Pelodiscus sinensis: one gene and its partners. The protein of the gene in region 2 purifies or fractionates together with the protein of the main gene of each other region. This does not show direct contact. Links are inferred from orthologs where the notes say so. Each region holds a gene or a part of one and is shown on either strand. Other genes may lie near its edges.

What was found.
Region 1: the proteins of DDX39B (region 2) and SPECC1L purify together in Homo sapiens (affinity purification with mass spectrometry, with the first as the bait; 3 studies listed by BioGRID). This does not show direct contact. The link is inferred for Pelodiscus sinensis from reciprocal best matches to the Homo sapiens genes DDX39B and SPECC1L.
Region 3: the proteins of DDX39B (region 2) and prelamin-A/C purify together in Homo sapiens (affinity purification with mass spectrometry, with the first as the bait; 4 studies listed by BioGRID). This does not show direct contact. The link is inferred for Pelodiscus sinensis from reciprocal best matches to the Homo sapiens genes DDX39B and LMNA.
Region 4: the proteins of DDX39B (region 2) and FUS purify together in Homo sapiens (affinity purification with mass spectrometry; 3 studies listed by BioGRID and IntAct, with this or other methods). This does not show direct contact. The link is inferred for Pelodiscus sinensis from reciprocal best matches to the Homo sapiens genes DDX39B and FUS.

Annotation. Positions count from the first base shown.
Region 1 is NC_134725.1:7,284,274-7,291,094, forward strand, and holds the start of SPECC1L (cytospin-A), read right to left. Parts: upstream 3,016-6,821; 5' UTR 3,012-3,015; coding exon 2,884-3,011; intron 1-2,883. UniProt on the Homo sapiens protein: Involved in cytokinesis and spindle organization. May play a role in actin cytoskeleton organization and microtubule stabilization and hence required for proper cell adhesion and migration.
Region 2 is NW_027465831.1:175,559-182,898, reverse strand, and holds the start of DDX39B (spliceosome RNA helicase DDX39B), read left to right. Parts: upstream 1-4,330; 5' UTR 4,331-4,464; intron 4,465-7,340. UniProt on the Homo sapiens protein: Involved in nuclear export of spliced and unspliced mRNA. Component of the TREX complex which is thought to couple mRNA transcription, processing and nuclear export, and specifically associates with spliced mRNA and not with unspliced pre-mRNA.
Region 3 is NC_134734.1:16,695,251-16,702,799, forward strand, and holds the start of prelamin-A/C, read right to left. Parts: upstream 3,004-7,549; 5' UTR 2,986-3,003; intron 1-2,985.
Region 4 is NC_134714.1:131,652,915-131,660,589, reverse strand, and holds the start of FUS (RNA-binding protein FUS), read left to right. Parts: upstream 1-4,674; 5' UTR 4,675-4,789; coding exon 4,790-4,802; intron 4,803-5,039; exon of another isoform or gene 5,040-5,107; intron 5,108-5,670; coding exon 5,671-5,695; intron 5,696-6,423; coding exon 6,424-6,578; intron 6,579-7,260; coding exon 7,261-7,402; intron 7,403-7,675. UniProt on the Homo sapiens protein: DNA/RNA-binding protein that plays a role in various cellular processes such as transcription regulation, RNA splicing, RNA transport, DNA repair and damage response. Binds to ssRNA containing the consensus sequence 5'-AGGUAA-3'.

The DNA of each region.
Region 1 (6,821 bases), on a different chromosome or scaffold from region 2:
GATTCCAGGTGCAGGCTTTTAAGGCATGTTCCCAGCTATGTGCAGCATGGAAGCCACTGGCACAGAGGTTTATTTCAGTGCTCCTCATTTACAAAGTCTCCATGTTAACAGCAACTCTTTGAGCTTCTCTGACAGCTCTAAGTCTGGTTGCTCAAACTCTGCAACCACACTTGGGTGGCTTTTTTAGGCCATTTCTGTATGTCAATATTAGTTTCCTTGACAGAAGTTTCACTGTAGTCATACCTTAAGTCTTAGCAATGAAGCCAAGTTTAAAAAGTGAATGTAAGGAACGTGGGTGTATATCACCTAAATATTCTTGTTTTAGATGCTGTAAAGTAATCAGATTCTTAGATGTTAGAAGTGCCTCATCCCACCCTGTTTTCTGTGCAGTAAGAGATCCTAACATCTAATCTGTTTATAGGATTTTTTTTAAGTTACTAGGGAGCTATGCCCCCTGTGCTTGCCAATCCCCCTGTTGTGGGGGGTAGGCAACCCCGGCTTTCCTCCTGGCCATCTCCTCCACCAGCCAAGGCCTCTTCTCCCTCCCTCTCTGCTGTGACCCAACAGTAACTAATAGGCAGCAGCACACACTAGACCCAGCTCCAACCATGGTGTGCGCCAGGCCTGGCTCCCAGGCCCAGTTTTCCCCCCTTGCGTGCCAGAAGGGCCAGGACCTGAGCTGCGCTGGCCCAGTTTTCCCAACTGGAATGTTCTGCTGGGAGGGATCAGGCCCGAGCCATGCCAGGCCCTGCTTTCCTCCAGCCACTGAGAAGGGGAGGGAAAGGCTGGGACAGTAGGCAGCCCAGGCCTCCACATGGGCTTTCAGAAGGGCCAGGCTGAGGGGAGGTGGGGCATATTCTTGTGGGACACAGAGTGATGTGATGATGTCACTCATCCCACAAGGAAAAAAAAACTTTATAGGTACAGTAAGATAATTTACACCCATACTAAAATTTCTCTGTTTTCTTCTGGGAAGTTTTCTCTGTAGTTTATTTGGGAAATAATGTTGGTTAGGTACAAAAAGTAAGAATAGGGATGTTAAAAAGTCATTAGGTAACTGTGTAACCATTAAAAAAAAAATCATAGCATGGTGGCAGCTCCCCAGGAGCCCATGTTTGCCAAGAGCTAGCTTTTAAGCCAACCCGGAGCCACTCTCCCAGGGAGCTGGCTGCTGCCTGATACTATGGGCTCCAATACAGAGCCAGCAGTGTGGTGTGCTAGCCAGCTCCCTGGGAGCTGGCATATAAGGTTATTATAATGGATAAGCTGATGCTTGTCAGTCAACTGTTTGAACAGTTACACTGTTACATCCCTAATTAACTGAAGCTTCCAGGGGTAGCCGAGTTAGTCTGTACAGGATAAACTTAAACAAATACTCTTTAGTCTTTAGGAACTGATACATCAGGCAGAAAGAAAAATCCAAAGTAGTTATTGTCACCTCACAGGAGACTATAACTGTGTGCAATTAACAAATTAAGACTAGGGATGATAACTAACATGCATTTGTGTAAACATGTAACTGCTAATAGCAGTTACACGTTTACAAGTGGGGGGCAGGCAGGAGCCAGTACTTGTGTGGAGCTGGTTTCCCGTGGATACTGGCTCCTGCCTACACCCCAAACTGCAGCCTGACTATCAAAGAAAGCAGTATGGGGATTGGGGCCAGGCGGCTCCATAGGAGCTGTCCCCTCTGAGCACTGTCCCCATGCTGCTGCCTCTGTGGGAGGCAGCAAAGTGCAGGGGGAGGGAGACACTGCATGTTAAAATCCCTAGTTAAGAAGCCAGATTATTATCAGAAGCTGCTCAGACATAGCAGCCAAACATCATCTGAAAGTTGTATTAAATAATAAATGTTCCCCAATAGTAAATTAATTTTAATTTAAATTAGACCAAAACAGATTAAGAACTTTCCTTGTGGCTGACTGGTGGCATAATTATGTATTTAATCTTTACAGCCAAGTTTTCTTCATTTTAAATTTATTACTAAATTTAAAATTTCAGAGCAATCAAAACACTCAAACACATGCTCAATATTATCCACATGATTTTTCCCCATAAAAACAGGAGTTCTCACATTAGTTATGCTACACACTTAAGCATTTGTAGGATTAGAACCAATGTTTGCTAGTTAGAATACAAGGGTGCAAGAGGCCAAATAAAGAACAGAATTTCTAAACAGAAGTATAGTAAAAGATTCCTTGTTTTAAAGAGTAAAAAGCAGCCCCAAAAAACTCCTTTTGAAAACATAAAAGAAAAAGCAAGTCACCTACAAGTACTAACATTTATTTACATTTAAAATGGTAACAGAGACCTATTGAATGCTCTAAGCACGTTAAGGATGTAAAATCCTGTTTAGTTACCATATATAAGCAGTCAAATCCATTTGTTCAAAAGCCAATGCCTCCCCACCACATTTAAAAAAAAATGTAAAAATAGCAAAAACTGGTTTAGGAATATAAGCAAGTAGTTGTAGTTGAGTCACTACTTGACTAATTGCTCCTCCCCCCCTTGCTGCCTCTGTATCAGAAGTAACAAGGGAGGGAGGGGGGAGCCAGAGCCAGTGCTGGGGGGATGGCAGCTTAAAAGCAGGTTCCCCCAGCACCATCTCTGCAGGGGGCAAGGGAGGCAAAGGCACAGTGGGGGAACAGCATGAGCAAATCCAAGACGCTGAGCCTCTGCTTTTTAAATGCAGTAAGAGCCTGGAGACTCTTATTACATTTAAAAAAAAACAGAACTGCAGCGAACCCCCTTAACTATTTGATTAGCTTCTAAACACTATTTAACATCCTTAGACCTGATCATAAGCTGACTATATTGGCAGTTTGCAAACTTTTGGTTCCAGCTCATCAGCGTAAGCCACTGGCACAGAGAAATTTTATTTACCTGGAGTGTCTGCAGGTACGGAGCCTCTCAGCTCCCACTGGTTGCTGTTTGTTGTTCCCAGGCAATGGGAGCTGCAAGAAGCAGCATGGGCCAAGAAACACGCTGGCATAACTTCCTGTCACTCTCATTGACCTGGAACAGTGAACAGTAACAACTGGGAGCTGAGGGACAACGTGCCTGCTGACAATCCAGGTATATAAAACATCCCAGCACACCAATTCCTAGCCTAGCAGGGCAGATTGCTGAAGTTTACTACCCTCCCCCCTGCACAAGTTTTAAAAAAAGGTAAAACAATGACCCATAAGCTGACTCCTGCTCACCACTGCATCATTTTTACCAAAAAACTAGGCTTATGATCAAGTATATACTAGGAATGTGATCAGTTAGTAGACTACACCATAAGCAAAAGCTTATAAGTTAAAGCTATAGACCTGTTCTTCCCCCCCCCCCCCCCCCGTTTTGTTTTTTTGGACCACAGAACCCTTTCAAACTTTGAAAAATTTCAAGGAACCCCTACAGCCAGGAAAAAACATTTGTCAAGAAAAAACAAAAACAAATCCCAAGCACATAGAGCAGGCTTCCAGTATACCACAATTAGTAGTAATAAGATGCTAAATATGGTCATGAGATCTCCATTCATTGTAATTGAACATATTTTAAAAACAAAAAAAAAAAACCACATTAAATGTGTACAAAAAAGAGCTAAAAAATAATGTGAATTATACTGACTGTTTTCAAGGCGAAGAGTGGTTTTTCTTCTTTTCTTGGCCAATTCTTTTTATATGTGGTTTAATACTAGAAAGTTGGATTCGTATATCTGGTGCAGCATTCAGTTGATTTCTGTATTGCGTTTTTATTGCTGCATAGTTCGAGAACCCAGTTTCACACAAGTATGTGCTTGCAAAGGGTAACAACTGACGAATTGCTCGTCTTGATAAAGATGAATATTCTTGATTGACATAAGTCACCCCAAAATGTAATCAGAGAAACATCTTTATATTTTTGTATTAATTGGCCATCTGAAGCAATTTCACTTAGTTTTTCTACACAAGATTATGAAAACCTGACTGGCTTTTCTGTTAAACTTAATGGATTTCTAATCCAATTATTGTCGTCATTTATGGTTGGAAAATAATGATTGTGTATCACTCGCGGAGATGATCTGCAATGTCACTGCTAATATCTTCATCAAGTTTGCATTCATTTTCCTCAAGGAAATCATTCCAGGGTGGCAAACAATCCAAATTATTTTGTCCTACAGAGGAGATCCAAAACTAGCTTCCGAGACAATGACAAAATTTTAATCTTTTGCATTAAAAATATTTACATTCTTTCATTGCAGCAACAGATTTACTTCATGTAGTTTTGTAAAGAGGTCTGCAAGGTACGCAACTCTCGATAACCACAAAAAGTTAGTTAAATGATCAGACAGCTGGAATTTGTGATCAAATATGCGGAGAGCTCATGACGCAACTCAAATAATCTAACCAGCACTTTGCCTTGCGATAGCCACCTGACTTCTGTATGCAGAAGCAGGGCTGTGTGCTGACTAGCCATATCTTCACACATAATTTTGAACAGTCTTGATTGTAATGGTTGAGTTTTTATATAATCATCTGTACTGCTTCGCCCAACACATTTTTAAGAGGGAGAAATATTCTTAACTACCAGAGCATGTCTGTGGAGAATGCAATGACTGCTGGTGCAATTTGGTGCTACATTTTTTATTCGCATTACAGCACCAGCCACTGTTCCTACCATTGCTTTGGCACCATCACTGCGCACATCAATACATTTTTCCCAGCTTATTTCATGTGTTTTCATAAAGTTATCAATACAATTCTCACCAGTCATATTGGTTTGCAAAAATTCACATAAAAGTCAGTCTTCAATGGAACTATCATCATCATCATACTGGACAAATACAAGCAAAACTGCAAGACCTGCAACATCAGTGGACTCGTCTAATTGTAATGCATATGCATCACATAAATGCAGCCGAAAAATAAGCAGCAAGATAGTGAATACGACGCGTGACAGTATTGTTTGATAGTGACACGGCTTCAACTTTTTGACAAGACTCCTGATCCAACATACACATTACAATATCTTTTGCACATGGTGTTTTTTTTAAAATGAGTGATTCCATAATAGTGTGTGCTTCTCCGGCGTGCGATATACGATAGCTAACTTTATAAGATGCCTCTGTTGCATTTTTATTATCAGATTTGGCAATTTTTTAATCAAGGGTACGTCTAGACTACAGGCTTTTGTTGACAGATTCATGTCGACAAAGCAGCTTGCTTTGTTGACAGAACTGGATATAGTCTAGACGCTCTTTGTCGACAGTGAGCGTAGACATAAAGGACGGTGTAGATACAATAATGCCTTCTGTCGACAAGACATTATTCCTCACAGAATAAGGTTTACTGCTGTTGACAAAACTGCCGAGTTCTGTTGACGTTATGTCGACAGAACTCAGCAGTAGTGTAGATGCAGGTATAGTTTTGTCGACAAAAGTCCTCTTTTGTCAACAAAACCCTGTAGTCTAGGCACACCCCAAGAGTTGACTTTTTTTCAAGTGATTCAAGCTTCTACTTAAAAAAAACTAATGTATTTATCTTTGTACTCTGAATGATTTGTTTCAAAATGTCTTTGCAATTTAGCAGGTACTAAACAACTATTAGATCATATTTTGTTGCACAGTACACACTGGGCACCCGGAGCATCTTCATTTCCATTGCTTGTGAATTCAACTGACAAATAGTCCTCACAATACCTGAGTTTATTAGTCGGCTGTAATTTTTCATAATTAAACTTGAACTGCCTCAGTATTTTCCTTGTTGGTTTCAGTAAAAATATGGGAGCTTGAAGTACTCACTTTTCTCTTTAAAGTTCCTTTTTTTAAAATCAAAGATCCATGGGAATTTTGATATTAATTTGTATTCTTAAAGTCACACACAGGAGCCATGTGTCCTCACAGTGTGTGTGAAGGAGCAGAAATCACCATAGTGAGTAAAGGATTTCCGGTGTTCCACTCACTGATAGTATCCCCCCTTCTCCTCCTCCCCCCATCCTTTACCAAGGGACCTAGCAGCAGCTACAGCTGCTTGTCCATCTTCTCCCGGATCAACCCAACATTCCTCCCCCCATCCCCTGCTGCTTTTAGCAAGGCAGCTGCTAGGTCCCTTGGTAAAAGCAGAGCAGCAGCAGGGGATGGGGAGGGTGTCTGAAATCCCAGCTGGGAACCAGAGAAGCCAGCATCTTTGCGCACCAGGCTCCTCTGTCTCTTTAAGGGGGAGGGAGCATTCAGATTCTCACGGAACCCTTACTTTCACTTTACGGAATCCCAAGGTTCCGCGGAGCACCATTTGGGAAACGCTGCTATAGACAACATGCATTCCACCCCCTGCATTAAATTTTTTAGCAGGCTGGCCAGCTATGGCTCTGCATTTAAAGTGTATTAGGACCTAGGCAGGGGGCAGGTAGCTCGCCTCAGTTCCAGCCCATACCAGGTCCAGGAGCTCAGACCCACCACCAGTTTTTAAACTGGCTCCCCTCATGAACCAGCTCCCGTATGGCATCCCATGCTGCTGCCTCTGATACAGAGGCTGCAGCGCAGAGTGGCAGGGGGCTCCTCGGGAGTAAGGCCGGAGTGCACTGGCTGCTGGGCCCGGCCCCAGGGACTATGGAATAGCTGACTAACCAAAAAGAATTCATGGGATTACTCAACTATTCAATTAACCCATTATTTAACATCTCTAGTATATGAGGGATGTGAACAAGTAGTTGACAAGACCAGAATTTCCCCAATTTTTATTTGGCCATAGAACCCTTTTCAGTTTGAAAGTATCAGAGGGGTAGCCGTGTTAGTATGACTCTGCAAAAGCGGTGAGGAGTCCTGTGGCACCTTATAGACTAAGTGAAGTGTTGGAGCA
Region 2 (7,340 bases):
TGTATGAAAGATACCAAATGGCTAGCGAGCATTCTGCAGTGTTCACTGGCTTTGTATTTGATGGCACATTAAACATTGAAAGTCGCGCAGCTTGCTAGCGATCCCTTGTCTTTGTATTCTTTCTTCCACAACGGTTTAAAAATACGTCTCTCTCAGAGATTGGTTAGTAACTGGTGGACGCGCGCTTGCCCTCAATATTAGTGCACGGGTCAAAACGCCCTCTGTTCACGGTTGGAAAATCTTCACGGGGACGCCGGAGCAGGGAGCTGTTCTTGGTGCTGTTTGCTCCACGCCCGCGGCTGGCCTGACCACATAGCGAAGCTAGACTCGACAGGGCGACACACTAGAATCATAGGTTCCCGAACGGGGGAAATTCAAGGGGGGGGGGGGGCGCAAGGCGACCCAGCCCCCCACCCCGTCAAAGAGCCTAGTCCCTCTAGTAAAAAAAATTCAGAAAATACTGGACGTGTCTTCCTGGCTCGGGCGTCTGCCAGAACACGCACAGCTTGGGCCTGGCCAGGTTTTTTTTCTTTTTCTTTTTTTTGCTCAACAAGCATTTTTTTGGGGGGGGGGGGGGGGTGAGGGTCTCTCAAAAATCAAAACGGAGGCGTGATGCTGAGAAGGTGGGGAACCGCTGCGAGACGGATGTGAGTGTTTCTCGGCTGGCCGGGCAGCCCCCGACTCTGCTCCTGTGCTGTGGGGGGGCCGTGACCCCGAAGACGCTGGGCCCACAGCTGGGCTCACCCGCTCCGTTGTGAATCCCTGTGCCTCGTGTCAGGACGCTGATGGTCGTGGGGTTTGTGTCCTCCTAGCAGACTTACCTGCTATTGCCACGTGGCAGTGGGGGGCGGGGGGCAGGAGCCAGGGCAAGCCCTTGGGGAGTGGGGAGCTCAGGGCAGGAGTCTGGGGGTGTAGGGTGATGCAAGAATGAGGGTGGAGGGATGAGCAAGGGCTCAGGACAAGGGGGCTATCTGGGGCTCTCTCCCCGCCCCCCGGCTCCTCTCAGGGTGGGGGGGGGCAGAGGCTGTCTCCTGCGAAGGGGCCACACTTCTCTTTCCAGCTGGCAGGCAAGAACACCGAGCCCCCGGCCCTGCTTGGCCACCCCTACGGTGATGCAGCTGCCCTCAGGGATGACCCTCCCCATAGCTCTCCCCTGCGCTCACTGCCCCCCAGTGGCCACTCTCAGGATCGCCTCCCTCCTCTCTCAGCCCCCTCCCCTGCCACGTGCTGGAACACAGCCCCATTCCCGGCACGGCCCGTTGTCCTGGGCCTCGCAAACCCGGCCCTTGCTTGCGCTTTGGAGAAGAGAATCCTAGAATCCCAGGGCGGGCAGAGACCTCGGGAGTCATCGAGTCCAGCCCCCTGCCCACGGCAGGACCAGCCCAACTCAATCAGCCCAGCCAGGGCTTGGTCTAGCAGGGACTTAAAAATCTCTAGGGATGGAGATTCCACCCCCCTCCCAGGCAACCCATCGCAGCGCTTCCCCACCCGCCTAGGGAAAGAGTTTTTCTTAATCTCCAACCTAGACCCCCCCACTGTAACTTGAGCCCATTGCTCCTTGTTCTGCCTCCTGCCACCCCTGAGAACAGCCTCTCGCCAGCCTCTTTGGAACCTCCCTTCAGGGAGTTGCAGGCTGCTTTCAAATCCCCCCTCACTCTGCTCTTCTGCAGACTCAGCTTTCCCCACATCGTCTGTCACTAGGTCACCTCCCTCATCCAGTAACCCCCTCTCCGATCTGGTCACCTACCATATTTGCTTTTCTTACTGCACATCGGGATGGTTTCTTCCTGTGCCTTTAATAAGGCTTCTTTAAAATCCTGCCAGCTCTCCTGGACTCCTTTCCTTTCATGTTAGCATCCCAAGGAATCCTGCCCCTCAGTTCTCTGAGGGAGTTGAAGTTTGATTTCTGAAGTCCAGGGTGTGTATTTTACTACTCTCCTTTCTTCCTTTGGTCAGGATCCTGAAATCTACCATCTCATGATCACTGCTTCCCAGGTTGTCACCCACCTCCCCTTCCCCTAGTAGTTCGTCCCAGTTTGTGAGCAGCAGGTCAAGCTGCGCACGGCCCCTGGTCGGTTTCTTCAGCACTCGTACCAAGCAGTTATCCCCAACGTTCTCCAAAAACTTCCTGGATTGTCTGTGTCCAGTTGTATTGGTCTCCCAACAGATGTCAGGGGGATTAAAGTCCCCCCCCAGAGGAAGCTGCCTGGCAAATTTGGTGGTCCGCGGTCTTCTTGTTTCTGAGTTTTTGAATGGACACTCAGATGGACGGACAGACTCTAGAATTCAGGGCTAGATGACCCGGCCTTTGGGAAGCCACAGTGTAGCCCAGGCAGTATGACCATTAAGGCCATACTGGTATTGCCCCAGCCTTTGGCTCTGGACTGTGGTCCAGATGGATCTGTGTTTTTTTCGATCTGGAGTGTGGAGTGGAGCAGTGCCAATGTGGGGTGTCCCTGCGGGGCGTGCTCAGCAGGTGCGGGGGCCTGTCCCTTCAGCTGCGCCTGGGCCGTGGAGAAAGGTGATCCGTGCATTTTGCATGCCGCTCGACTGTCGGCCAGAGCTGAGGGACCGGTCTTGAAACTGCTACCCATGGGCCCGAGACCCCTCCCCTTTTCTGCTCACTGGAGACCACCCAGGCCCTGTCGTCGCCACCGGCCCCTGCCCCTCACTCTCAGCCCCCCTGCCCGAGGCTAGTCCCCGCCCCCACTGCACTGCTGGCTTTCCTAGCCCCGGGGCACTAGGTGGTTGGGCAGCTGAACGACCCCCGGCCCCAGAGCCTTGGGGGGCCAGGGATCACGGGCTATGTTGTCAGACTTGACCCCTGCCGGCTGGTCCTGTCCCTTCCTGTTGCCAGCTCCAGCGCAGGGCCAAGAGCAGCCTGAGGAATAGGGCACTGTGGGGGCGTAGCCAGAGGGGAATGTGGTGTTGGGGGTGTGGCCAGTGATAGTGTGGGGGCGTGGCAGGGGCTGGCAGGAGGGGAATAGGGCACTGTGGGGGCGTGGCCAGAGGGGAATGTGGTGTTGGGGGTGTGGCCAGTGATAGTGTGGGGGCGTAGCCAGAGAGGAATGTGGTGTGGGGGGTGTGGCCAGTGATAGTGTGGGGGCGTGGCAGGGGCTGGCAGGAGGGGAATAGGGCACTGTGGGGGCGTAGCCAGAGAGGAATGTGGTGTGGGGGGTGTGGCCGGTGATAGTGTGGGGGCGTGGCAGGGGCTGGCAGGAGGGGAATAGGGCACTGTGGGGGCGTAGCCAGAGAGGAATGTGGTGTGGGGGGTGTGGCCGGTGATAGTGTGGGGGCGTGGCAGGGGCTGGCAGGAGGGGAATAGGGCACTGTGGGGGCATGGCCAGAGGGGAATGTGGTGTTGGGGGTGTGGCCAGTGATAGTGTGGGGGCGTGGCAGGGGCTGGCAGGAGGGGAATAGGGCACTGTGGGGGCGTAGCCAGAGAGGAATGTGGTGTGGGGTGTGTGGCCAGTGATAGTGTGGGGGCGTGGCAGGGGCTGGCAGGAGGGGAATAGGGCACTGTGGGGGCGTGGCCAGAGGGAGAATGTGGTGTTGGGGCGTGGCCAGTGGGAGTGTGGGGGCGTGGCCAGAGGGAGAATGTGGTGTTGGGGGCGTGGCCAGTGGGAGTATGGGGGCGTGGCCAGAGGGAGAATGTGGTGTTGGGGGCGTGGCCAGTGGGAGTGTGGGGGCGTGGCCAGAGGGAGAATGTGGTGTTGGGGGCGTGGCCAGTGGGAGAATGTGGTGTTGGGGGCGTGGCCAGTGGGAGTGTGGGGGCGTGGCCAGAGGGAGAATGTGGTGTTGGGGGCGTGGCCAGTGGGAGAATGTGGTGTTGGGGGCGTGGCCAGTGGGAGTGTGGGGGCGTGGCCAGAGGGAGAATGTGGTGTTGGGGGCGTGGCCAGTGGGAGTGTGGGGGCGTGACCAGAGGGAGAATGTGGTGTTGGGGTCATGGCCTGTGGGGGCGTGGCCAAAGGAGGTAGGCTATCGCGGGGCGGGGCTAGAAGGGGCGGGGCCTCGAGCCGTGGCCCCATGACGTCATCACAGGCCTGCGAGGCAAAGCGAAGCCTGAACCAAACTACTCCCAGCCCCTCTGCCGCCTGCAGGACCCCGTGGGAAACGCATTCCCGCGCTCCAGCCGGTGGCTGGGGGAGAGGTGTCCTTGTCAATCGCCTGATGAAAAAAAACGACACACACCCCCGCGCCGAGCCCTCTGCCCCGACTCCAGTGCGCTCGTGTCCGTCCCCCTCAGAGAAACCCCCGCCCTCAATGGTCCCTTTGGTGCGGGTGGGTTTTTTTTCGTTTGTTTCCAATCAGGCGCTGTGTTAGGCAGCCCCATCCGGCCGCGGGGTCCTCGCCGAGGCGCGCTCCCCTACCCCTCCCCCCACATTCCGGAAGTGGAGGCGCCGCTCAGTTCTGGCCGCGGCCGCCGCTCGAAGGAGACTCGGGCGCCCCTCCCCCCTGCAGCAGGTGAGCGGCCCCGCCGAGAATCGGTCGCGCATCGCCGCCGCGCGGGGCCATCCGCCCCCCGGAGCTCCTGATACCCCTCGGGCGGGCGATTCCCTCCCCGCCGCGCCCGGTCTCGGCCGCCATTTCCCGCCCCCGGGCCCCGAAAATCCGCCCGGAAGGGGCCCCGGGGGGGGCCGGATGGACGGGTTCCCCCATTGTGCGTCTCTAGCCGGCCAGGAATCCAAGATGGCGCCGGCCCGGCGGCCCTCCAGCCCCCGGGCCGCTCCGCCATCCGCGGACATCGGCCCCGCCCGGCCGCCCCCGCCCCCGGGACCCCGCGCGGGCGGGAGGGAGGACCCCCCCGCCGCCCCCCAGCCGGGTATTGGTGGGGCCGTGAAACGAACACACACAAAAATAGGGCGCCCAAGCCGCCCCCCCCACAGGGGAGCCTCCGACATGGGGGAGGGGTGCACCCCCCGTGCATGGTGGGACGTGCTGCAGTGGTTTGGGGGCAGGGCCCCTGCACTATGGTGGGTTGGGGGTGGTGAAGGGGATTGGGTAGCAGTGTATGGGGAGTAGGGCCCTGGCAGGGGGCAGGCCACGGAAGCAGTACCCCCCCCCCCCCCCCCCCCCCGCCATCGCAGCCTGTATCCTAGGACCTGGGGGCCTGCCCCACGGCAGCCGGCAAAGCGGGTGGTTGTGGCTTGTGGGCAGCACCCCAGTTTCTTCCTGGCCAGCCTGGGGGCGCCTCTTCCTGGCCTTGCACCTAGGCAGGGGGGCGGGGTGCTGAGGCTGCTCCTCTCAGTCCTGGGCAGGGGGGGAGGGTTATGGGGTGCAGCAGCCCCCAGGCCTGGTTTCTTTGTGGTGCACGCAGGGAGGGATTTGGGGAGCAGGGGCACCCCAGGGTCTGACATGCCCGCAGGGGGGCAGGGTACTGAGGCTGCTCCTCTCAGTCCTTAGCTGGGGGGGGGAGTGTTATGGGGTGCAGCAGCCCCCAGGCCTGGCTGGCTTTGTAGTGCATGCAGGGAGGGATTTGGGGAGCAGGGGCACCCCAGGGTCTGACATGCCCGCAGGGGGGCAGGGTGCTGAGGCTGCTCCTCTCAGTCCTTGGCCGGGCGGGGGGCGGGGGGGAGGGTTATGGGGTGCAGCAGCCCCCAGACCTGGCTGGCTTTGTGGTGCATGCAGGGAGGGCTTTGGGGAGCAGGGGCACCCCAGGGTCCGACATGCCTGCAGGGGGGCAGGGTGCTGAGGCTGCTCTTCTCAATCCTTGGCCGGGGGGGGGTTATGGGGTGCAGCAGCCCCCAGGCCTGGTTTGCTTTGTGGTGCACGCAGGGAGGGATTTGGGGAGCAGGGGCGCCCCAGGGTCTGACATGCCCGCAGGGGGGCAGGGTGCTGAGGCTGCTCCTCTCAGTCCTTGGCCGGGGGGGGGGGGGGGAGGGTTATGGGGTGCAGCAGCCCCCAGGCCTGGCTGGCTTTGTGGTGCATGCAGGGAGGGCTTTGGGGAGCAGGGGCACCCCAGGATCCGACATGCCTGCAGGGGGGCAGGGTGCTGAGGCTGCTCCTCAATCCTTGGCCGGGGGGGAGGGTTATGGGGTGCAGCAGCCCCCAGGCCTGGCTGGCTTTGTGGTGCATGCAGGGAGGGATTTGGGGAGCAGGGGCGCCCCAGGGTCTGACATGCCCGCAGGGGGGCAGGGTGCTGAGGCTGCTCCTCTCAATCCTTGGCCGGGGGGGGGGAGGGTTATGGGGTGCAGCAGCCCCCAGGCCTGGCTGGCTTTGTGGTGCACGCAGGGAGGGATTTGGGGAGCAGGGGCACCCCAGGGTCTGACATGCCTGCAGGGGGGCAGGGTGCTGAGGCTGCTCCTCTCAATCCTTGGCCGGGGGGGGGGGGAGGGTTATGGGGTGCAGCAGCCCCCAGGCCTGGCTGGCTTTGTGGTGCACGCAGGGAGGGATTTGGGGAGCAGGGGCACCCCAGGGTCTGACATGCCTGCAGGGGGGCAGGGTGCTGAGGCTGCTCCTCTCAGTCCTTGGCCGGGGGGGGGGGAGGGTTATGGGGTGCAGCAGCCCCCAGACCTGGCTGGCTTTGTGGTGCACGCAGGGAGGGATTTGGGGAGCAGGGGCACCCCAGGGTCTGACATGCCTGCAGGGGGGCAGGGTGCTGAGGCTGCTCCTCTCAATCCTTGGCTGGGGGGGGAGGGTTATGGGGTGCAGCAGCCCCCAGGCCTGGCTGGCTTTGTGGTGCACGCAGGGAGGGATTTGGGGAGCAGGGGCGCCCCAGGGTCTGACATGCCCGCAGGGGGGCAGGGTGCTGAGGCTGCTCCTCTCAGTCCTTGGCTGGGGGGGGGGGAGGGTTATGGGGTGCAGCAGCCCCCAGGCCTGGCTGGCTTTGTGCTGCATGCAGAGAGGGATTTGGGGAGCAGGGGCACCCCAGGGTCTGACATGCCCGCAGGGGGGCAGGGTGCTGAGGCTGCTTCTCTCAGTCCTTGGCCGGGGGGGGAGAGTTATGGGGTGCAGCAGCCCCCAGGCCTGGTTTGCTTTGTAGTGCATTCAGGGAGGGATTTGGGGAGCAGGGGCGCCCCAGGGTCTGACATGCCCGCAGGGGTCAGAGCGTGCCCCCTGCATCCCACTTCTCTCCCGCAGCTGGGCACAGCCCCCAGGAGTGTGGCGATACGAGTGGGGCTGGGGGCCCCCCAGTACTGCCAGTGGGGGGCGATGGGGTCCAGTTTGCAAAGCCTGTGGGGGAGTTCGGTAGGGCTCCCCTCAACATGTGGCGTCCGGAGTACGGCTGTGGGATTTGGGGGGGGTGGATCCAGCCTCCCCCCTGTACCTGGGCTCGCCCTGCCCCCCCACTCTGTGGGGCTGGGCTGTACACGGGCAGTTCGAGGGGGTGTGGGGGTTGA
Region 3 (7,549 bases), on a different chromosome or scaffold from region 2:
CCTGAGTTGGAGTGCTCGATAACAGGGTGAAATGTAATGCCGTGTCCTACTCACGGGGGTGGCCTTTCTGGCCATAAATGCTATGAATACGGCCCCTTTGCACCACACTGCCCTGGTGAGAAGCGGGTGGACGTGTAATTGAGACCCTTGTGTGGTTCTAGGATGGTGCAGAGGGGTCTCGGTGTAAAGGAGACTCCGCCCCAATCAATGAGTGATGGCACTGGCTGCTTTTGGCATCCTGATGCATGTACCAGCCTGCACCCGCTCTTGTTCCTGTCTTGTGCACTTGCCCCATGAATATACTGTCAGCTCTTGGTGCCACACTGACTCTCTCCTCCCCCGACAGGAATAGCTGCTTTCACACCCAGCAGGCACGCAACCCGGGAAGCTGCTTCTGCCAGCATGTCACCCCGCCAGCCTGTCTCACTCCTGCCCCAGAGGGACCCCCTCCAGGCGGGCGCATGCGAGGAGCTATTCTCCATGGTCCCCTCAGCACCAGGCCAAGGTGCCAATTAGTGCCACACCTTGTTTGTGAGTAATCCACCATGCAAAGGTTTTGTTTTAATGATCCTAGGGTGGCGGGGGGAGGGGGCTGGTTTCCTTTCCCACCCCCACTGCCCAGGACTGGGTGGCATGATCAGCTGTTCAAGTTCCCCTTTGCTGCTTGTATCTAATGCTCTGCACCCCCCACCGAGGTGTCTCACACCACTGAGTCTCCTTTAAAAGCTCAGCCAGCGAGCTTCATGCACCTTAATCCCTTAAGGTGGCCCACAACCCCTGTCACCCTAAACCCTGGGGTGAAAAGGAACTGGATAGGTACAGGACACTAGTAATAACTATGTAATAATGCACCTGCACCTCCTTACTCCGGGTATCCCTAATCCGTGGTACGGAGAAGGAGGCCGATCCCCACCAGCATGCAGCATGCTCCCGAGGCCTGGGAGTAGCAGGAGCACAGATCCACTTGTGCCCCTGGGAGCAGGGCACTGGGTAAGTGCACCAACTCATACCCAGAACCCACCATGTCCTCCCTGTAGGGTTGCCAGATACTTGCACAAAAAATCCAGAACATGGCGGGACAAAAATTGGTTCAACAACAAGAAAGGAAAAAAAAAAAAAAAAAAGGTTGCTGCGCCTTTAAATTCCTGTGCTTCTCGTTCCACCCACCCCTGCCCAGACACAGCAAGGGAAAAATGTCCCCACCAGTCTTCCATCTGAGAAACAGAAAATACAGGTATTTTCTGGGAGGTTTTACAGGACAGAAGACGCAATTACCAGACTGTCCAGGCGAAAACCGGACACCTGGCAACCCTACCTCCCTGGCCCGGCAACATCTTTAATCCGGCAGACCCTGTTTCCCAGGATTGCCAAATTAAAGAAGTTCAAGAATCTACAATATGCTACATTTGCATTGAGGGGGAAGGATGAAATTCAAGAAGGACAAAAGCAAAGTACTACACTTAGCAAGGAATAATCAATTGCTCAAATATCACATGGGAAGTGACTGCCAAGGAAGCGGTACTGCAGACCAGGGTCTCGGGATTATAGCGGATCACAAACTAAATACGAATCAACAATGGAACGCTGCTACCAAAAAAACCCCAAATCCCCAAACACCATTCTGGGATGCATTAGTAGGCATGTTGCAAGCAAGACATGAGAAGTAATTTTTCCCTCTACTCAGCATTCATAAGGCCTTAACTGGAGTCTTGTGCCCAGTTCTGGGCACTACATTTCAGGAAAGATGTGGACAAACAGGAGAAGGTCCAGAGAAGAGCAACAAAACCAATCAGAGAGTGATCAATTGTTCTTTTATCCACTGAGGATAGGACAAGAAGCAATGGACCTAAATCGCAAGCATGAGAGGTTTTGATTGGACATTAGGAAAACCTTCCCGTGGCAGGATAGTTAGGCACTAGAACACATGCCTACTGAGGCTGTGGAGGCTTTTTAGAGCATGTTAGACAAACATCAGCCAGACATGGTTTAAATCAGCAGCGGGCAAAAGCTTTGGATCTGATCCATCACAGTCCTCTGGGCTATCAATGTCCAACAGCCCAGGGAGAGTCTGAGGCAGGCTCCCTGCCGGCCGCGCCCCACCTGTGGCTCAAAGCAGCCAGCTGCTGGGGCCAGCCTGTGCGTCTCTGCACAGCACATGCCACATGGGAGAGGGGGAGAGAGGCTCTGCATGCTGCTCCCGCCCCCAGCACAATCCTTGCAGCTCCCATTGGCTGGAAGCCATGCTTGTGGAGGCAAGCGAGTGACGAAGCCCCTCCCCCCCACCAATGGCATGCCATACAGAGTCATGCATGGTCCTTTCTACACTCAGCCTTCATCCCAGACCTGCATCCCCTGCATAGAAAAATGTGGTTCTCGACCACTTACCAAAATCTTGGGATGCCCCCCCACCCATGAAAAGTTATTGCCCACCCTTGGTCTAGACAGTATTTAGTTCTGCCTCAGTGCAGGGGACTCGACTAGATCACCTACTCGGGTCCTTTCCAGCCCTGTATTGGTTTTCTCTGCTCCTTTGCTAGCTATGGCCCCATCCAGCCTCTCCACTGCTCCTTCCCAGTCGCTGTATTGAGCTGTCTTGAATTCACATCCCAGGCCGAATGTGTCTTTCCTAGACTCACTGGTCTCAGCATTTTACACTCACTTTGCACTGGTGTAAATGGTTATGCCAAGTTCAGAACAATGGAGAATCAGGCCCCATGGGACATCAGGTTCTAAATAGGAATAAATGTAAATTGCAGAATCGGAGACATAAAGAGACCTACTGATCCTAATCTCATGTGCAAGGCAAGCGGGAGTCAGGACTCCTGGGTTCTATTCCCAGCTCTGGGATGGGGGTTCAGCGGTCGTTTGAGCAGGGGCCTGGGTTTTATGCCCAGTTCCACCCAAACTGCCTTGCACAAAACAGCTCCATTTCCAACACCCTCCCTCATACAAAGCATCCCTCCCCCAGCCCTGCTGTGAGCCTACCTGCGATACAGAACTTGTACCACCATCTGGGACCACGGAGCTGGCATGAACTCTTCTACCAACAGCTGATGCTCTGTCTCAGTGCAGACCCCCATGGTCTCGGCAGCTGCTGGGTGTCTGTCTGGCCCCCATCCAACAGAAGCAGGAGGATCTGAGTTCTCTCTGCATGAGAGCAACCAGGACACGATGGGTATCTTCGCACCATCTCGCTGAAAATCTTTGTATCAGCGTCAAGCACCATCGTGGGTCCCAGGAATTGCTGGATGCTCCAAATTGCTGAGCATTTGCTCCTGGGATCTGCCTTCCCCTTTTGCAACAGAGCAGAAAATAGAAGGGAGACAGAAACACTCCGTTAAAAAGCTTGGAAGGCTCCCATACTAATTATGAACAAGAACATAGCGAACAGCAGCGGCTTGTGTTCCAGGATAGACATTGCACTTTTTTACTGTTATTTTTTATTATGAATTATTTCTGTTACAGTAGCACCACAGCACTCCACTTATGGATCAGGATCCCATAGCACAAGATGCTTATGAACACCAAACCAAAAGACTCTCTCCCTACACTACAAACTATCCTGCTAGGTATGATTATCTCCACTTCAGAGATGGGTAAACAAAGGCACAAAGCAGAGTTAGAAGCAGAACAAGGCATAGATCCAAGGAGTCCTGACTCCCCCTTGACTGCTCTAATCAATAGACCATGGTTTCCACACCAGGGCCAAAAATAGAACAAAGAGCCCCCAACCCCTATGCCTCATGTTCTAGCCACTACTTCCCACTGCTCTGGAGTAGGCCGGAAATGATTCGTAGATTCCAAGGCCAGAAGGGACCCAATATAACCATCTGGTCTGACCTCCTGGATAACATAGGCTCCAGAACTTCCCCAAAATAATTTCTAAAGCAAATCTTTTGGGAAAAAACCATCCCATCTCAATTTTTCAACAATGGAGAATCTACCATGACCCTGGATAAATTGTTCCAACGGATCATTGTTCTCACCATTACAAAATTACACCTTATTTCCACTCTGAATTTATCTAGTTTCCACTTCCAGCCATTGGATCGTGTTAGATCTTCCTCTGTTATTAAATATTTGTTCCCCACATAGATACTTGCAGACTGTGAGCAAGTCACCCCTTAACCCCCTCGCTTAGGCTGAGCTTTTTGTGTCTATCACCATGAAGCCTATTTTCTATTCCTTTAATCGTTCTCGTGGCTCTTCTCTGACCCCGCGCCAATTTATCAGCACTCTTCCCGAATTCTGGACACCAGAAGTGGACACAGTATTCCAGCAGTGCTTGCATGAGACAACAGAACCCCAAAGTCACCTTGTGTTGAACCTTAGACCACACTGTTTTATGGTGAATGCACAAAATCCTGAAACGAGGGATGTAAAAGGTTAACCGGTTACCTGGTAAGCATCATCCTAACCAGCATGCTTATTGGGTCAGCTGGTTAGCTGAGTAAATGTAATGTTTAACCGGTTAACTTTTTAAATGTTATTTTACACCCCTACTGAAACTAAAACAAAATCACCTTCCAAATGTCCCATGCTAAAACTTTCGGGAGGGGTTCCCCACTAGTCTGAGCCCTCCCTGCTCCCAACAGCCCCAGTACCGTTGCAGCATGTTCTGGAAACATGGATGAAATGTAGCAAAGTTATCCACGGGTGTGCATGTGTGTGGGGAAAGAGAAGCTGATACAAAGGCACAGGATTTTGTCAGCTGATTGCTCCCCCGTCCTGCAGATCCCAGAGTGGACCCCATGAGCTTTGGACATGCCCAGATGGTACAGCAATGGGTGTCTGTGACAGGCCAATGTCTGGCCCTTTGCCCTTAGCTGGCATCTTTTCCTCCCCCTGTATCCATGAGCAGCCCGAGGTGGGCTGCGGTAGCTGGCGCCCCAGGTGGAACACACGATCGGCGACCCCGCCTGCATGGCCGTCAATGGAGTGACGTCATCATCGGACGCCCGGACGCCCTGTGACATCATCATCGGGCGCCCTGGGCGCCCCATTGAAGGCAGTGCCCTAGGTGATGGCCAGGTTGGCCTATAGTCACAGGCCACCCCTGCCTGTATCTGAGGTTTCGCATGGACACAGCGGAGCCCCAGCATTCTGAAAGGGCCAGTTCACACCCAACCGGTCGGCATTTTTGGGGAGCAGGGAGCTTGTCTGTTTTATGTGTCTGAAAATTTACCGTCATCCTTACGTTGTGATGGAATCACATACAGAAACAGCAAACACTAACTAAAATGATTAATTAAATAATAATGACCCAAATAATTAATAATTGGTTAAAAATAGAAATAATGGCAAATAGGAACATATTTAGCAGCAGCAGCAGCCAGAGATCGGCTCATCTGGTGCAGGGATGTGCATGCTGGGGCAGAATGGCACATCCAAACGGGAGCATAGGGGCAGGGTGGCCGCTGCCCACCCTCAGAGCCTTTGAAGGCCAGAGAGTAGCAGGAATCAGAAGGGATTGGTGTTCCATGTAAGCTGGGCATTTGTGTGGCTACTCAGGAGAGATTCAAATGCTGCCCAGCTGATTAGCAGAGCTCCCACATCTGGGTTTTTTATTATAGTGGTGGTGCACATGGCCTCGGTGCACATAATATTTATACCACACCTGGATGGAAAAAGTCTGCACGTGGCTGAAAAAGATGGAAGGGAACATTGGAAGGAATCAGACATTTATCTGGATAATAAGAACATTTAGATTCATCCCCGGCTGGACTCAACTCAGGGCCTGATTCTACCTTGCCCAGAGTCTTGCACGGTCACTGACATTAGTGCAAAGTGAGTGTGAAATGCACTGGCGTAAATGACTGGGAGATACAAAGAATTAGAGAAGGGTTGAAAATCTTGCTGCGTCAGGGCATAAACCAACCTCTAACTAGGGATGTAAAGGGTTAACTGGTTACTGGGTAAGCATGACCCTTACTGGCATGCTTACCAGGGTAAACAATTAACTGGTGGGGGGCTGCTCCGGCTGAGCCTGGCCTGGCTGGAGCAGCCCATGATTCCGTGGGCTTGCTCAGGCTGCAGAAGCCCTGGCCAGGCTAGAGTAGCCCCTGGCGCACGATCACGGTGAACCCATTAAAACATTAAGTTTAACCAGCTAACTTTTTAACCAGGATTTTACATCCCTTCCTCTAACAGGTGGGGTCAAGAGGAAGCCTCCCCTCAGGCCATGTCACCCCAGAGGCGAAGGGGTTCTTACACCTTCTGCTGCCGAGGTCCAGGATATTGGGCTAGGCAGGCAGACCCCAAGTCTAACAGAATGGTAACTCGTATGTTCTGGGCTCTCCCAGCAGTTAAACCTGTTTTGCTAATTGCCCCACTCCCCACTGACATCCGAGACACATCAGGCCCATTTGCTTTCCATTTCCCCAATGATCAGCAATAAGCTCTGAAATTGGAGAGTCTGCTGCCGCTGTGACTAGCCCATGAAATATATCCATTGTGTTGGCCCCTTGGCCGGTTGTAAATGAGAGAGGGGGGAGCTCTGGGGACACATCCCAGCCCTGCTCCTGATAGAAAGTGGGGCAGGGGAATTTCCCAGGAAGCTGCATGCTGTAACTGCTGGCTTGATCTGCCTGGAACAAAATGCTTTCAAACAATTCTCTCCCTTCGATAAATGGCTTAGACTTTTCAAGCATTAGGTAACTTCCATTGGAATCCTCGTTAATGTAGCTACACATCTATGAGTAGCAGACAGTACCGGTTTGGTCAACTTAATGCTTCCTCTGTACTTACACACACACACACTCTGCATCACAAGCTTTCAAATACACGTACACGAGATACATAATTTGAACGCATGTCTTCTAAAAGGAGGTATGATGTGAAGTTCTCAAGTGATTACCCTAGAAACAAGGGTAAACAATGACCCCACCAAGATGTCCAATAGACCACTTTGAAATAGTCACATTTGTTCCAGTATGTTCAATGACTCTGGATTATTTCAAGACATAAAATTAGATTTCTTTGTGACCTCAGCACCAACTGAAAGAGTAAAACAAAATCTGATTATACATATGGACTGTGTCTAGACCGGCCACTTTTTCCGGAAAAGCAGCCACTTTTCCGGAAAAACTTGCCAGCTGTCTACACTGGCCGCTTGAATTTCCGCAAAAGCACTGACGATCTCATGTAAGATTGTCAGTGTTTCTGCGGAAATACTATGCTGCTTCCGTTCGGGCAAAAGTCTTTTTCTGAAAAACTTTTGCGCAAAAGGGCCAGTGTAGACAGCTGAGATTTGTTTTCTGCAAAAAAGCCCCGATTGCGAAAATGGCGATTGGGGCTTTTTTGCGGAAAAGCGCATCTAGATTGGCCACAGACGCTTTTCCGCAAAAAGTGCTTTTGCGGAAAAGCGTCCTGCCAATCTAGATGTGCTTTTCCGAAAATGCTTTTAACGGAAAAGTTTTCCGTTAAAAGCATTTCCGGAAAATCATGCCAGTCTAGACGTAGCCCCCGAGACGTATCATTGAACTGTAGGAACGCTGGTGACATTGCTACTCAACTTCTTGTTCATCGTTCTACTCTCTGTCGAGAGTGA
Region 4 (7,675 bases), on a different chromosome or scaffold from region 2:
CGTGTGAACCTGCACTTGTGTCATGCACTGAGCCAGTGACCTACTTTCCACGGTTGCCTTGCCAACGCCCAGCAAGGCCATTCATAAATGGCGCATGGGCCTCTGAGCCGGATTGAACCGGTTTCAGGGACACAGACAGGAAAGCCTTGGACTGGGGAAGAAACCATTTTGCAGAATAAGGGGGTTCCAGGGAGAGGAATCGTTTTTCTTCCTGAATCCCGATCCGAGACATGGACCAACCTTTTCTATTCTGTGTGGGTTCTTATACCACGTCACCACTGCAGAGTCAGAGCCCCCAGCGCAGATAGGCCCCAAGACAAAGAATCCAGGCCTCAATTTTGTTCATGGGCTTTTTTTCTTCCCCAAGTGCAATTTCTGCTCACCTCCCACGCTCATTTTTTCATCCATTGACTTAAACGTGCGTTCGTTTTCTTTTGTCATGAGGAAAACACACTGCGCCAGACACGAATTCTGTGCAGCTGAATGGACCCTGATCCTGAGGGGTTTTAAAAGAAATGCTGCTTAAAAAAGAAACCCACGGTGACAATTGTGAATTGGATACCCCAGTGATAAGTACAGAATCATTACGTTTATTTATCATACCACTTATGGGGCCTAGCAGGGCAGGCCCTACACTAAATGGCGTCACAAGCAAAGAGTGTTTCATGCCTCCCTCCACTTGTTCAGCTTTTTAACACCTTATTTTTAGCCCATTTCATGACTCTGATGCGTGATTTATCCCTGTTATATAAGAGATGATGTATTTGTTCATGCCATAGATAAGCAAATAAAAAAGGTGTTTCCTCTAAGCTTATAGAAACCTTTTAATTTTAAGAATAAGTGAAATGTACTAACCTCAGGAAACTGTCACCAAACGATGTATTAAGCATGGCAAAAGAAGTAACGGTATTGCTTTTATATTATCGTGTTGATAGGCGTTTGATTACTATCTCTGGCATCTAATTATGTCCTCTATGAATTGCTACTTACACTTTTCAAGTCATAAAACACAAGTACACATTCACAATGACACAATAAAACAAGGTTCAAAATATCACAGCTGGGGGCCTTTGTGCTAGGGGCTGCACAAACACACACCAAAGAGATGACTCGAACCCCAAACAGCTTCTGATCTAAACTCCCAATCCTTGCTGAGACATCCGGCCTGGGAACCTGAGGGAAAGATTTTTCATCTTCCTTTAAAAACCTGCTCAGGGGTGCAGACTGAAAAAGGGAAGGAAGGGCTGCTTCGATATAATGTGTCTTGAAATAGGGGGAAATCTGACTCCACCCTAGAACCTGCAGCTAATGGAATTACATTTTAGGCCTCGTTAAACTGGGATGTGAAGGATTCGGCCACCCTGCAAGCCATCTGTTGCTTGGGAGGACTTTGGAGTTACTGTATGTGGATCTAAATCACGTAAAGGATAATGTGTCAAAGTCTTGAGTGATCTCCTTGCAGCTGTGGGTAACCTTTCCCTCTCAGTTTCTCCTTGGAACAAGAGTAGCTAACGAGAATTCAGAACCTAAGTCTCTCATAGGAATGGCTTGTGGGACAGCTATCAAGTTTGAATTTCCCAGAAATTCTGCAACCAGCTTTTTAACCAAGATTTGGTCTGCTCCAGCAAAGATCCTGTGATTTTTTTTTCCGAAGAGGAAGGGTTTGCTCTTAGCTCAGCCAGCCAACAGTAGTGATATATGTGGGTTTGACTGCTAGGCTCCACCCCAGAGAAGGATGCACTGTGGCAAAGAACAGCATAACAAGAACCAGTGATTGGGAGACAGACAAATTCCAATGAGAAATAACAAGGCCCTGACTTTTAACAATGAGGGTAATTAGACTCTGGAACTAACTTCCCAAGAGAGCTGGTGGATTCTCTATATTTTGATAGCTTCAGATCAAGAATAGACAAGATGCTTTAGTCAAACACAAGTTACTTGGTTCAGTACAGAGGTATCTGAGTGAAACTCTCTTGGAAGTCAATTCCACTTATGGAATTACAGCAAGGTAGGACTGGATAAAGCCTCAAAAGACCATCTAATCTGATCACACTGCCCTGCACTGAGAGAGGATTAAATATGAACAGACCTGTGGCCTCTTCTGGTGTTAAAATCTATTAATCTACTCACCCTAACAGTGGCTGAACTTCAGTACAGTTCAGATCTGGTGTACAAAGGGAACATGGGGAGTGTCTTTCTCCTTCTCAGTCAGGGGCCACATCAGTGAGGGTTTGGTTTTTCTATTTTGCTTCTCACTTGTGTGTGCTCCCCGACTGATTTTTCTGTGGGGTCAGCATCCCCTGGACTCAAAAACGGTTCCCCACCCTTGCAGAGTAATCACTTTTTGTGACGTTCCTGCTCCAAAGAGCTTACAATCTAATTTAAAGTGCATTCTTTTAGAGACCGTTTTCATCCTTTCAAACATCCCACCCCAATATCAGCGCTGAAATCCAGCTGTCTGAGTTCTAGGTGATCCCTATATTGTATAATCTGAAATGGTTAAAATCTCAGACCCTGCCTTTGGAATTGTTCTGGCCTGATTCTACCATTAAAACTGACTCTTACTTTTATTACCATGAATTCTTTCCTACTTTGTTACTGGAGGATGGCTCACTAAGAAACGTCCCCACTGAAGGGAAACAAGAAGACCTTTTATAAATACATTAAAAGCAAGAGGAAGACCAAGGACAGGGTAGGCCCACTGCTTAGTCAGGAGGGAGAAGCAGTAACAGGGAACTTGGAAATGGCGGAGATGCTCAATGACTTCTTTGTTTCGGTCTTCACCGAGAAGTCTGGAGGTGTGCCTAACGTAGTGAATACAAGCAGAGAGAGGGTAAGTTTAGAAGATAGGATACACAAAGAACAAGTCAAAAATCACTTAGGAAAGTTAGATGTCAGCAAGTCACCAGGTCCTGATGAAATGCATCCCAGGATACTTCTTCTAGGGTTTGAGAAGAAGGTGTAGTAAACAGCTGAACTGTTATAAATATTCAGACGTGAACTTTGCAACAAGAGAACAAAGGTCAGTCAAGGATCTCACTAAGCTTTATTGAGCAATTTAACTGGCTCGCCTTCTTGAATCAAGAGCAAGACTGCAGACATGAACTCAGTTTATGCCAACAGTCAGGATTAATCCAGATTAAATCAGCTTTTGGAAATACCATCAACAAATGCACAGAGTGATTTAGACACTGGAGAAAAAAAATGGATCCCCACACATATCTAGACACAAATACGTACCTATCCATCTATATAAACCCATGTACTTGTCTCAGTCCCCTATACACACACACACACACCTTAGCACTTATCTAGTGTTCTTGGTCTGCTTCTAGGGCTACGTCTACACTATAAGCTTTTTGCGCAAAAACCTGCAGAGCATCCACAGCTCAAATGAGTTCTTGGGCAATTAAATGGGCAGTTAAACGGCAGAACAGAGGACTTTTTCCACCATAAGTAAACCTCCTTTTCTGAAGCATAACTGCTTTTAGCACTACAGCTATTGCACAAAAAGGCAAGTGTGGATGCTCCAGAGGGGTTTCTTGCGAAAGAAACTGCTATAGGAAAAAGCACAGGTGCTCTGATGGTCATTCTGTGAATGGCCATCAGAGCTTTCTTGCGCAAGAGCGCCCATGCAGTGTGGACACTCTCTTGCGCAAAAGCACAGCGCAAAAGTGATGTGCTTTTGCAATGTGATTTGAGGTGTGGACGTGCTCTTGCGCAATAAATTTTTGTGCAAAAGCTCTTACGCAAAAGGCTTCTTGCACAAGACGCATGTAGTGTAGACATAGCCTAAGAGTTCTGCAAAGGAGTTAATTCCAGTTTTACTAGTAAGGAAGATGAGGCATGCCAAGGGAAAGTGACTTGCCCATGATCACCGAAAAGGCCAGAGATCTAAGACCCTAGGTATTGGCCCATGGCTTTTACCATTACTCCACATTGCCCTCAGGAGACACTCCCCCAAAGAGACACTACTGGACAAACCCACCTCCTATCAATTCAATGATTTCTTGTTGGTATGACAAACTAAACAAGTGTTGCTTGCACATTTACCCGCAAAGATTTCTCTCTTTCTCTCTCTCTCTCTCCCTCTCTCACACACACACAGGTCTGCACACAGACCCACAAATATCTTAAACCCCTGCACACTGATGCACCACAGTCTCGTACACATGCACCTCTGTACACTTACCCCAAAAGATCTTTCTCTCACGCACACACACTCCTGCACACTGACCCACAACTCAGACTCCTGCTCACTGATGCACAAAGGTCTCCCACAAATGCACACCTATACACACACACACACACACACTCACACTGCCCTAAGCACAAACCCCTCCCTGCCTCCCTCCCACCCAGCCACACACACAAATACCCTCCCCCCCCGCAGAAAACCAAACTCCTTCTCCCCGCATCCTCCCCTCCCCCCCGCTTCCGCAGTCACTTTGGTTCCTTCCACCCAGCCCCATGACCTCATTCCTCCTCGCGCCCCCACCCCCGCAGCCTGCACCATTCCCCTCCCGGGGGGGGGTGGCCGGAAGGGCAGAACAGGGGCCTTGTGCACAGAGAAAAACCACCGCCCCCCCTGCACAGACAATACACCCGGCTGCGGGTCCGCCCCGAGTGGGGGGGGAGCGGGCAACAGCGGCTCTGAGAAGGGAGGGGCCAAGCAACCCCCCCAGCTGCCGAGGGAGTTGGTACGGTCCAGGAGCAAGGGGCGGGGGAGGGGAGGGTATAAATACTGCCGGGCGGGGGAGGGACGTTCACTCCAGCGGCGGCAGCAGCAATGGCGTCTAACGGTGAGGCGGCGCCGCTCTGCGGCAGGGCACGGGCTGGCGGGAGGGGGCTGCTCATGGGTTGTAGACCCGTCGGGGGGGGGGCGGGTCGCAGCCCCCCCCCCCGGGGACGAATGCCCCCCCCGTGGCGGGGGCGGGCTCCCGCGCTCAGCGCCGCCCGGTGCACGCGGGGCCGCAATTCCTACATAGCGCGGGGGGGCCGGTGCCTCGTGCGGGGGGGCGCCCTCCCCCCTTCAATACCTGCGACACTGAGGCCTTAGCCGCCATTTTGGGGGGGAAAGGAAACGGCTCTTTCCTCGCTGCGCGCGTGTAGCCCAACGGCGCCTGCGCGCCTGGGGAGGGAGGGGGCGCGAGGCGCGCGCGGAGAGGGAAGGGCGTGGCAGAGAAGAACGCACGCGCGCTGTGGCCCCTGACGCCGCCGCCGCCTCGAGCCGCAGAGGGCGGCGCATGCGCAGTAGAAATGGGCCGCCCGCCCTGCACCCGCGTGTGGGCGCATGCGTCGTGCGGATTTTTTTTTTTTGCCGCAGTCTTTCATCCGGGCTCTGCCACGCGCTGTGCAGGCGGCGCCAGAGCGGGTTGGTTGGAGCCTCCGCGCCCGACCAATCATCGCCTCTCCCGCCCACTGAGTGAAGCGTGGTCCATTCCCTCCCCCCCCACGCACACACGCTGCCACCCAGCCTGGGGGTAGATGCCCTGCACTGCCTGTGACCGCCCCATTGCGGGGGGGGGGAGCCACACACACACACCTGCGCACTGGGCCTCCCCCTCCCCTCTGTACGGTGCCCCCCCTTGCTCCCCCCGCCCGTCCTCTCCCGGGAGCTGGGCTTTGGTCTGGGACCTGACTCACTGCTTCCCTCTTTGTGTCTTGCAGATTACAGCCAGCCGGCCACCCAGAGGTAACCCTCCCCCGCCCGTGCGCGGCGCTGGCCGTCTGGGCTCTGCAAAAAGAAGACAACGCTGGCACATGGGGGAGGGGGGGGTTATCCCAGGAGTCTTTCCTTCATCGCTCTTCTATTAGTGCCTTAGATCAGTGGGCTCTTCCAGCCCACATTCCTGCCTTGGATTAGACCTGTGGGCCCATCTAGTCTGTTATCCCTCCTTGCTCCTAGAGACCTGGATCACATCAGTGCACCTATCTAGCCCAGCATCCTGTTTCCCAATAGCGGCCAGCATTCTCTGCTTTATAGAAACATCTAAATAAAACAACAGCAGGGAGTTAAATAATGACGTGATTCTAAAGGAAACTTCCTCCTAAACACCCTTGATTTCTAAGCTCTTTTGGGCAGGGACTCTGCCTCTATTTAGCACAATGCTCTTATCTGCCTATTGCCCTGTAATGCAACTGACACACTTGTTAGTCCATGCTGTTAAATCCATTGACTCGTTGCTTCCCTGGAGCAGTGCTAATGGTGTTCAGGGCTTCTGATACAATGTGGGTTATTCCCTCAAATCCCCCTCAACCCAAATTGCATGATACATGGTGTCACCATGTCATGGTAATTTTCAAATTAGTTTGCTTATGTGTGTGGGACTTCTGAAAAAAAATGTTTCTAAACTGCTGCAGCCTTAACTATGGAGTCACTGCTGGCCTCTGGAATATCTAACCTGTCTGATCCTCATTTAGCTATGGGGCTTACCCAGCACCACCAGGACAGGGATACTCTCAGCAAACGAGTCAGCCCTACAGCCAGCAGAGCTACAGCGGTTACGGCCAGTCTGCAGACACCTCAGCATATGGACAGAACAGTTACAGTTCTTCTTACGGCCAGAATCAAAGCAGTAAGTGTCACTCTCTTGGTCCAGCTAAAGTGAAGCTGTTTTTCACTGCCAGCAAGTCTCATCAGCACCATCCAAAAGTTACTTGAGTGACGTCAGAGTATTTTCCTATCGGTTCTCTCCAGATGGCCAATTCCATCAAAGGATCCATTAATTGGTGTGGCTATATTGCTGATTCAGTCCCTACTGCATCAAGTGTTTAAAAACCCAATAACACTCTTCAGCCCTTCTGAATAATACAAAATCCCTATCACCTTTCATTTTTGGGTGAGAGTGAATCTGCATCATCTAGTTCTAGCCTATATATGGGCTAGGGATTGCGTAAAATTTGCTTCCCTACTTGGTATCCTCCCCCAAGGTTTGCATTGTGTATCTAACTAGTTTCTGTATATCATCCCCAGAGGTGCCTGCAATTTAGGGCCGATGGGAGGGAAGTTTAGTATGATACATCTTACCAAGTGCCTTGAAACTATAGACATGTGGCAGAACTGAGGTTAGAATTTGTCTCCTGAGTTACTTTTATTCTTTACTAAGTAACACGGCCTTTCCAAAGGAGCTGTGGAGACATAAGCTGGTGCCTCTCTTCTATACTTCAGTTGCACTGAATCAGCTTGAGGTATAGAAGGGATTCATTGGGTCTGTTTAGCCTGGCCATGTTTTAAGAATGGATTGGGTTTTTTACCAGCTGGCTACAGCACTCAGTCAACACCTCCAGCTTATGGAACAACTGGATATGGCAGCAGTCAGACCTCTCAGACCTCTTACGGACAACCCTCATCGTATCCTAGCTATTCCCAGCCACCAGCAGCCAGCTCAACAACGGGAAGGTATGGCTAAACATTTCCCTTCTGAGCCCCTGTCTATATTCATTTTACAAATGGTGAGGGAAGGGGGCTTGCTCAGGCTCGCGGATTGAGTCAATGGCAGAGCAGTGTATGGAACCCAGGAGTTCCTACTCCCATCCCTGCTCCAACCTGCTAGACTCCTCCTTTCCTAAAGCTGAGGCTAGAACCCAAGGCTACGTCTACACTACAGGCTTTTTGCGCAAGAACAGCCATTCTTGCGCAAAAACTTAGAGCGTCTACACTGCATGCGTATTC